Arabidopsis thaliana: one gene and its partner. The protein of the gene in region 1 interacts with the protein of each later gene in a pairwise test. Each region holds a gene or a part of one and is shown in the gene's direction. Other genes may lie near its edges.

Region 1 (5,984 bases):
AATGTTTTCTAAAAACAACAAATAATAAGAAAGAAAAAACAATTGTATAAAAGACAGGTCCACATGAGTGCATGTGAAGCAACAGTTTGTGTTTAGTACTGTAATAAGAAGGATGGAAACATGAAATCAGTAAGAGGAGTGGGTAATTGTTGGAGTATTACAATAATTGTTTTGATGAATATTATGCGTGTGCATTTCTCTGCCATTTTCCCACAAATCATTTAGCATTTAGCTTATCTTATCCTTTATCAAATTGATCAGTTAGTTTACCTCGACCCGTTCTTGATACATACATATCTGTTTGAGTTTTTAAACATCTTGGTGTTGAATTTGTCACGGTTATTATTTATCAAGTTTGGATTCTTTTTAGTGATATCAAATTACTATGCTATGCTAATTGGGCAGTCTGAAAAAAAAATAAAAATTATATTCTCTCGTTTGACGTACGTTTTTTTTATTCCGTCTCCATTTTACTTTACCTTAAAGGCATTGGCACTGACTTTGGGTGTATACGTCTACACATGCTTTTAGTCTTTTAGACATCAGGTAGAAAGTTTACGAAATTAGAATTTTATATCTGAAGAACGTTTAAGAAAGTAGCATTTTAATTAGGGACAATTTGCTGATACATTCAAGAAGTGATACAATTAACCACTTTATTTAATTTTTATTTGTTATATTATCAACAATATTATACTATACCTATATTACACTGCCATAAATCTGTAACATGGGAAGATTCTTATCTAATCAATCATGCAAACGAAAGAACAGTAACAAGCCTGCACTCTCTGCAGTGGCATACATTATAGTATTCACACTTTTGTTACGCATCAAGGTAAGTATGATTGAACTAAAGAAATATGTTTTCACGTATAATGGCCATGAGTGGGCTCGATCTTAATTTTTTTTAACCAACCAAATAGAAAGAAGCTTTTCGAAATTCAAAAGGGGTAAGAAGAAACGTGAAGATCGATCGTGGGAATATCTTCATTATTGCTGATTTTAATTAATAATGAAATTTATTTGGACCTATCTGATATTTAAATATGCTGCAGAGCATAGGGTAATAGGATCATCTGTTCTTCTTCATCACATGTGCAGGTCACCCATTCTTATATGCTTCGAACGTTCACCTCGGTGGCTATATCCTAAATACGAGATTTACAATATAATCACTGATTCATCATTAATATGTAATGTAATCGAATATTGCTAAGAGCTAATGGTATATTTTTTGTTTTTCTTCCTTAGAAGGCAAGCGTTAAAAGACACAAAAGGAAAAAGGTGGGAAAATAGATAAAGACATTCTACAAAAGCTGAATTAGAATGAAGTTAAGCATAAGCTACCTCTATGCCACACACCAAGTGTATGTATAAAAAATAGTAATTATATTAGTATTAGTTTAAGCTTAAGCTATCTATGGCACATTCACAAATCACTATACAGCAAATCAATAGTTGACTTAATTAATTTTAAAACACCGAACACATTTTTGGATTAGTTGTAATTGTGAAGAAAACACATTCTCTCTTCACATGTTCAATGTCTTAAGAAATTTCTCAAATACTTCCAAGATCTTGTTTATTTCTTTTTTTCTTAGAACATGTAACCCTACATACTCTTTGATCACTACATCCATATAAAACCAAGATTCATTTTTATATATCTCTGTGTTTATATGTCACATATATATAACATAATAAACACAGAACAAGCATATACTTACAGAGTTTCTTCTTATTCTACTCTCTTCCTCCACCACCTCCTTGCATGTTCACTAGTCTCGTTCTTGGTAATGAACTAAGGAGTCAAGTTTCAGTTGAAGCTGTTGAGACAGAGGAAGAAGTTGAAGATGAAGATGAAGATAATAGTTCTCTTCCTTTACTACTGTTACATTGGTTCTACTTCCTCTGTTTTAGCTTCCATCGACAATGTCAACGAGCTCTCTGTTTTGCTGTCGGTGAAATCAACTCTTGTGGATCCTCTCAACTTTCTCAAAGACTGGAAGCTTTCAGACACCAGCGATCACTGTAATTGGACCGGTGTTCGGTGCAACTCAAATGGCAATGTTGAGAAGCTCGACCTGGCGGGGATGAATCTCACAGGCAAAATCTCAGATTCGATCAGCCAGCTGAGTAGCCTTGTCTCGTTTAACATATCATGCAACGGATTCGAGTCGCTGCTCCCGAAATCAATCCCTCCGTTGAAATCTATTGACATCAGCCAGAATTCATTCTCAGGGAGTCTTTTTCTATTTAGCAATGAATCACTTGGGCTTGTTCACCTCAATGCTTCAGGGAACAATCTCTCCGGAAATCTCACGGAGGATCTCGGGAACTTAGTCTCTTTAGAAGTTCTTGATCTCCGAGGGAATTTCTTTCAAGGGTCACTTCCAAGTTCATTCAAGAATCTACAGAAGCTGAGATTTCTCGGATTATCCGGAAACAATCTCACCGGCGAGTTACCAAGCGTTCTCGGCCAGCTCCCTTCACTTGAAACCGCCATTCTTGGTTACAACGAATTCAAAGGTCCGATTCCACCGGAATTTGGAAACATAAACAGCCTCAAGTACCTTGATTTGGCCATCGGAAAGCTCAGTGGTGAGATTCCGTCAGAGCTTGGGAAGCTCAAGTCACTCGAGACGCTTCTCCTGTACGAGAATAACTTCACCGGAACAATTCCAAGAGAGATAGGAAGCATTACCACGCTAAAGGTTCTTGATTTCTCCGATAATGCGTTAACCGGCGAGATTCCAATGGAGATAACAAAGCTCAAGAACCTCCAGCTACTGAACCTGATGCGCAACAAACTCTCAGGCTCCATTCCTCCCGCCATCAGCAGTCTAGCACAGTTACAAGTCCTCGAGCTCTGGAACAACACGCTCTCCGGCGAGTTACCAAGCGATCTCGGGAAGAATTCTCCATTACAATGGCTTGACGTTTCTTCAAACTCCTTCTCAGGCGAGATTCCTTCAACTCTATGCAACAAGGGAAATCTAACCAAGCTCATTCTCTTCAACAACACCTTCACCGGTCAGATTCCAGCGACTCTTTCCACTTGCCAATCACTAGTTCGTGTTAGAATGCAGAACAATCTACTAAACGGATCAATTCCTATCGGCTTTGGCAAGCTTGAGAAGCTACAGAGACTCGAACTAGCCGGAAATCGTCTCAGCGGAGGGATCCCTGGAGACATCTCCGATTCAGTTTCACTTTCTTTCATTGATTTCTCAAGAAACCAGATCCGATCATCTCTCCCTTCCACAATCCTCTCAATTCACAACCTACAGGCGTTTTTAGTCGCCGATAACTTTATCTCCGGCGAAGTTCCAGACCAATTCCAGGATTGTCCTTCACTCTCTAATCTCGATCTCTCATCAAACACTCTCACTGGCACTATCCCTTCAAGCATTGCTTCATGCGAGAAGCTCGTAAGCCTCAACCTAAGAAATAATAACCTCACCGGCGAAATCCCTAGACAGATCACGACAATGTCTGCATTAGCAGTGCTAGATCTCTCCAACAATTCCTTAACCGGAGTACTACCAGAGAGCATCGGAACATCTCCAGCTCTGGAACTCCTAAACGTCTCATACAACAAGCTCACAGGTCCAGTCCCTATCAACGGCTTTCTCAAAACCATAAATCCAGATGATCTAAGAGGAAACTCCGGTCTCTGCGGCGGCGTTCTACCACCGTGTAGTAAATTCCAAAGAGCAACATCGAGTCACAGTAGCCTCCACGGGAAACGAATTGTCGCCGGATGGTTGATTGGGATAGCATCGGTTCTAGCTCTAGGGATTCTCACCATTGTTACGAGAACTCTGTACAAGAAATGGTATTCTAACGGATTCTGCGGCGACGAGACGGCGAGCAAAGGTGAATGGCCTTGGAGATTAATGGCGTTTCATAGATTAGGGTTTACAGCTTCCGATATCTTGGCATGTATCAAAGAATCAAACATGATCGGAATGGGAGCAACCGGAATCGTGTACAAAGCAGAAATGTCACGATCAAGCACAGTTCTCGCCGTGAAGAAGCTCTGGAGATCTGCCGCGGATATTGAAGATGGAACCACCGGAGATTTCGTAGGCGAAGTTAACCTCCTCGGGAAATTGAGACACAGAAACATAGTGAGGCTCCTAGGGTTCTTATACAACGACAAAAACATGATGATCGTATATGAATTCATGCTCAACGGAAACCTTGGTGATGCGATTCACGGCAAAAACGCCGCCGGGAGACTTCTCGTTGATTGGGTTTCGCGTTACAACATCGCGTTAGGTGTAGCTCACGGCCTCGCTTACCTCCACCATGATTGTCATCCTCCGGTGATTCACAGAGACATCAAATCCAACAATATCTTGCTCGACGCGAATCTCGACGCCAGAATCGCCGATTTTGGCCTCGCCAGGATGATGGCGAGGAAGAAAGAAACCGTTTCAATGGTCGCCGGTTCTTACGGTTACATTGCTCCCGGTAAGGTTTAAATACCATACCGATTACTAAATTGATTACAATCCGGTTTAGTCTAACAACATATGGTTGATCATTTGCAGAGTATGGATACACTTTGAAGGTGGATGAGAAGATAGACATATACAGCTACGGCGTCGTACTATTGGAGCTGTTAACCGGAAGAAGACCATTGGAACCGGAGTTTGGAGAATCAGTAGACATTGTGGAGTGGGTGAGAAGGAAGATAAGAGACAACATATCACTAGAAGAAGCATTAGATCCTAACGTAGGAAACTGCAGATATGTGCAAGAAGAGATGCTTTTAGTTCTACAGATTGCTCTTCTCTGCACTACAAAGCTCCCGAAAGACAGACCTTCGATGAGAGATGTGATATCGATGCTCGGAGAGGCTAAACCGAGGAGGAAAAGTAATAGTAATGAAGAGAACACTAGTCGTAGCTTGGCCGAGAAACATTCATCGGTTTTTAGTACTTCACCTGTAAATGGCCTTCTTTAGTATGAGATTTAAGAATCAAAAGAGGCCGATAAACTGATTCGTTCGATTCGTGTTCTGTATGTAGAAGAAAGAGAGAAAGAGAGAGAGATATGTATCTTTTGATTTAATTTTTCCATGTAGAATAAGTTTCCTTTGTTTTACATGATCATATTAACTTTGTGCATTGCTCTGAACCGTTTTGTTTTTGTGCAAGAAAGGGTTTTCTTATAGATTTTTAAAGTGTGATTTACAAAGAGAACATATAACTAACTAAAAGAAAAATGGCAGAGCCAAAAAAGAAACTGTAAAGGGGAGAGAAGAAGAAGAAGCTTCTTACAATGTTTTTGTCTTCTCTTTGATCTGTGATCTGTCTTATTACTGCTTCAAACATAAAGGGTTCTTCGTAGATTATTATTTGCTTCATAATATCATCTGAGCTGTAAACAAGGATCACACAAACACGGTCACAACGACAAAACAATGATTTTAATACAGATATCAGGATTTGATCGAATCAGTAAATGTACCTTTACCAGTAGCCTCCGATGTTTTCATTATCCGGAGCCTTCTCACTGAACCAATAAACATCCTAGACACAAGTAAAACTCAGGTTCAAACTTCAGAATTTGACGCTTACACGGGACAAAGCATCAAAAGCATAAGAACATATGTATGCATACCCCCACGGAACATCGCCAACAAGCATCCAATCTCCTTCCTTGTCTTCATACGTTAGTACTAATCCGGAAGACCCATCTGGTAGTATCTTGACCGGTGTTTCCATGTGACCATCGGTTTCTAGTGTGCGTGAACCTGATTAAAGAAAGAATCATAACTTCATTTCCCATACCAAGAACCAACTTCAAAGGAACCAAAAAAAAGGCCATGAGATTCGAAAAGCACACCTAATTTAGGTTTCAGAAACATTTCCTCTAGAGTGTTTGACAATGATTCATAGCATTTATGAGCATTCAGATCGATTTTCCTTCCAATAGGAATGCCATCCATAGTCACCTTAACAAACATG
Region 2 (2,776 bases), on another chromosome or scaffold:
TGGAAGACACTTGGAACATGGACTTTGGAGGTGGTGGTAACATGGGATTACCAATGTGGGATAGTTTTGCATTTTCGCCTTCAAAACCAAAGAAAGAAGAGAAGATTGGTCTCGCTGAAGCCATTACAAGCAGCATTCTCTCTGCTGGTATATGTTGTGATGCACCCTCCTGCATTATATAAAAATCAACACCTAACAAAAACGTTATCCTTTTCTTCTTCCTTTGCTTGTAGGACGCATAGACCTTAGACGGAAGCTTTTCTCCAGCATTCAATTGGTAGATCCTGAAAACCTTTTTTTTTACACACTCAAGTTTTCGCCATGTACTTCCTTAAAATCATGTGCTACCATGTAACTCTTCATACATGAATGTGTTACCTTGGAACTCTCTCTCTCTTTTGGCTTCTCAGATTGGTGGTGCTGGTTTGACGAAAGGTCTTGTAGCGGCAGTGGAAGAAAGGTTTGCTCGTTTCCTTTACCAAACATTTCGTTTTCTAACATCCAGAAGGCACATCCAACTAAACAGAGTATTTTGTTCAACTAATGTTTATGTCCCTCTCTCCTTTGCGTTTCAGAGTTCTTCACGCGATACCTCCAACTGAAGCCATTGATACAGTGCAGGTTCTGCCATCAAGAACGGAGCCACAATTCGTAACTTGGAAAGGAGGAGCGGTACGTTTGCATTTGTTTGCATCTTTTATTTTCTTACCACTCTTGATTTTGTGTATTTATGTACTGAAATTTGAGACAGATATTGGGAATTCTGGACTTTGGGAGGGAGGCTTGGATTGAGAGACATCAATGGATGGTAAATGGGGTTAATAAAGGTGGTCTAAAGAAGTACAAAGACTCTTATCACCTTCAAGGTCAAGCAATGTACTTCATCAACCCCTAGTTTCTGTCTATATCTTAAGCTTTCTCTGTTTCTTATCAGAATACTTTTACTTGTCATAACTCAAAACCAAAAACAAAAATTCTCAGAGTAAATGTTATTTTGCTAAGATATTCTCAGAGTTTGGATTGATTCGAGGCATATAAGAATTTAACTGATTTGGTCATCTTTAAGATCATAACTATTAATAAGGAATCCAAAAGTTATTTAAGGTTTTGTTAGAAAAGCAAGATAGGCATCATGAGTTAGTATATATATATATATATATATATATAATATAGAACTTTTTGATTTTTTTTAATCAAACTATATTATATATATATATGTCTTAGTTCCTAATAAAATGTAAACTTCAATAGAATTTTTGAAATATAAAGTTTTAAACCTGTAATTGTTTGCACTTATTAGATGTATATTACTATTTATACCAATATATAACAGATTTTAATAACTAAACAATTATAATTTTTTAACAAAAACAAACGTAATAGGTTACTGAAATTTACTTTATAACAAAATAAAACGTTTAAATGAAAATTAACTCTTTATATAACATATTTATCTACAGAGCCTATAAATATGACTAAATATTGCTTTAATACTCCAGAGCAAAACAAAAGAAAAACGATTCACAATAATATTTAATATATTTTCTTTGTGATATTGGTTAATTTCTACCAAGAAATGAAGTTGCCTATTATATTCTTAACTCTATTAATTTTTGTTTCTTCATGTAAGTCTAAATTATTTAATTAGGATAATGTGTCAGTATTATAATCATTATAAAAACTGTTTAAGAATTTGATATATCTTTTAAAAATTTGATAGGTACATCAACACTTATAAATGGATCTAGTGATGAAGAGAGAACATATTCTTTCAGTCCAACAACAAGTCCTTTTGATCCACGCTCACTGAACCAAGAACTTAAAATTGGGAGAATTGGTTACTGTTTTGATTGCGCAAGAGCTTGTATGAGACGGGGTAAGTATATTCGTACATGTAGTTTTGAAAGAAAACTTTGTCGTTGCAGTATTAGTGATATTAAATAAGGCATTGTAACTTTGTTAAACATTAATAAAAAAACAAATTATATTACTGTTTAATGTTCATCCATGCTCTTCTTTTTACAATAATGAAAATGTATAATAATCTAAAAGTTTTGTAGTGTGCACTTAACATGAAATTTATTGGAGTTAATAAAGGCTGTCTAAAGAAGTACAAAGACTCTTATCACCTTCAAGGTCAAGCAATGTACTTCATCAACCCCTAGTTTCTGTCTATATCTTAAGCTTTCTCTGTTTCTTATCACAATAACTTTTACTTGTCATAACTCAAAACCAAAAACAAAAGTTCTCAGAGTAAATGTTATTTTGCTAAGATATTGTATGTTTTGTCATGTATTTGATTGAACCCTTTCTCTCTACACAACAAAACCAATTTCTAAGGGAGTTTTATTTTAGATTTATGATGGTTTAAAGAGAGAAAAAAAAAAAAAAAGTAGTTACAGTTTTTTGTCCCACATCGGCAATACGAGAGGGAAGGAGAGCAGAGAAGGGCTTATATAAAGAAGATGGGCCTCACCGTTAGAAATTAAAAAGGGTCGGATGGCTATTTATGCCACGCTCAGCCTAAGATAAGGGGTGAGTGCTGTATGGCAAAATCAAGACATATGGCCGACATTATTTCTGGAACAACCCATGGGTTGGCTCGCTCGGCCGACCCTCCAAATTACAATTAAAAATAATTAAAATTTGTTTATCATACGTTCGGCGTAATTGTTTACTATAATTAGATAAAGAATCCATTTTAATTCCCTCAACTAAAGTATTATTGACAAATACTTTATTCTATATACATTTAAAACTCCAAATGACTATCGTT

The links.
Region 2: the proteins of AT4G28650 (region 1) and LURE1.2 interact in binary tests that used the Arabidopsis thaliana proteins (3 or more experiments, as listed by UniProt).

Annotation. Positions count from the first base shown.
Region 1 is NC_003075.7:14,143,149-14,149,132, reverse strand, and holds AT4G28650 (Leucine-rich repeat transmembrane protein kinase family protein), read left to right. Parts: upstream 1-1,595; 5' UTR 1,596-1,856; coding exon 1,857-4,482; intron 4,483-4,562; coding exon 4,563-4,978; 3' UTR 4,979-5,175; downstream 5,176-5,984. Other genes in the region: IAA11 (indole-3-acetic acid inducible 11), read right to left, coding at 5,205-5,389, 5,485-5,546, 5,638-5,770, 5,863-5,984. UniProt on the Arabidopsis thaliana protein: Involved in the regulation of procambium maintenance and polarity during vascular-tissue development. Involved in the pollen tube perception of the female signal. Phosphorylates MDSI1.
Region 2 is NC_003076.8:17,472,535-17,475,310, forward strand, and holds LURE1.2 (Putative membrane lipoprotein), read left to right. Parts: upstream 1-1,514; 5' UTR 1,515-1,576; coding exon 1,577-1,625; intron 1,626-1,720; coding exon 1,721-1,944; 3' UTR 1,945-1,951; downstream 1,952-2,776. Other genes in the region: ARP9 (actin-related protein 9), read left to right, coding at 1-147, 234-277, 411-460, 576-672, 752-895. UniProt on the Arabidopsis thaliana protein: Pollen tube attractants guiding pollen tubes to the ovular micropyle. Attracts specifically pollen tubes from A.thaliana, but not those from A.lyrata. Triggers endocytosis of MDIS1 in the pollen tube tip.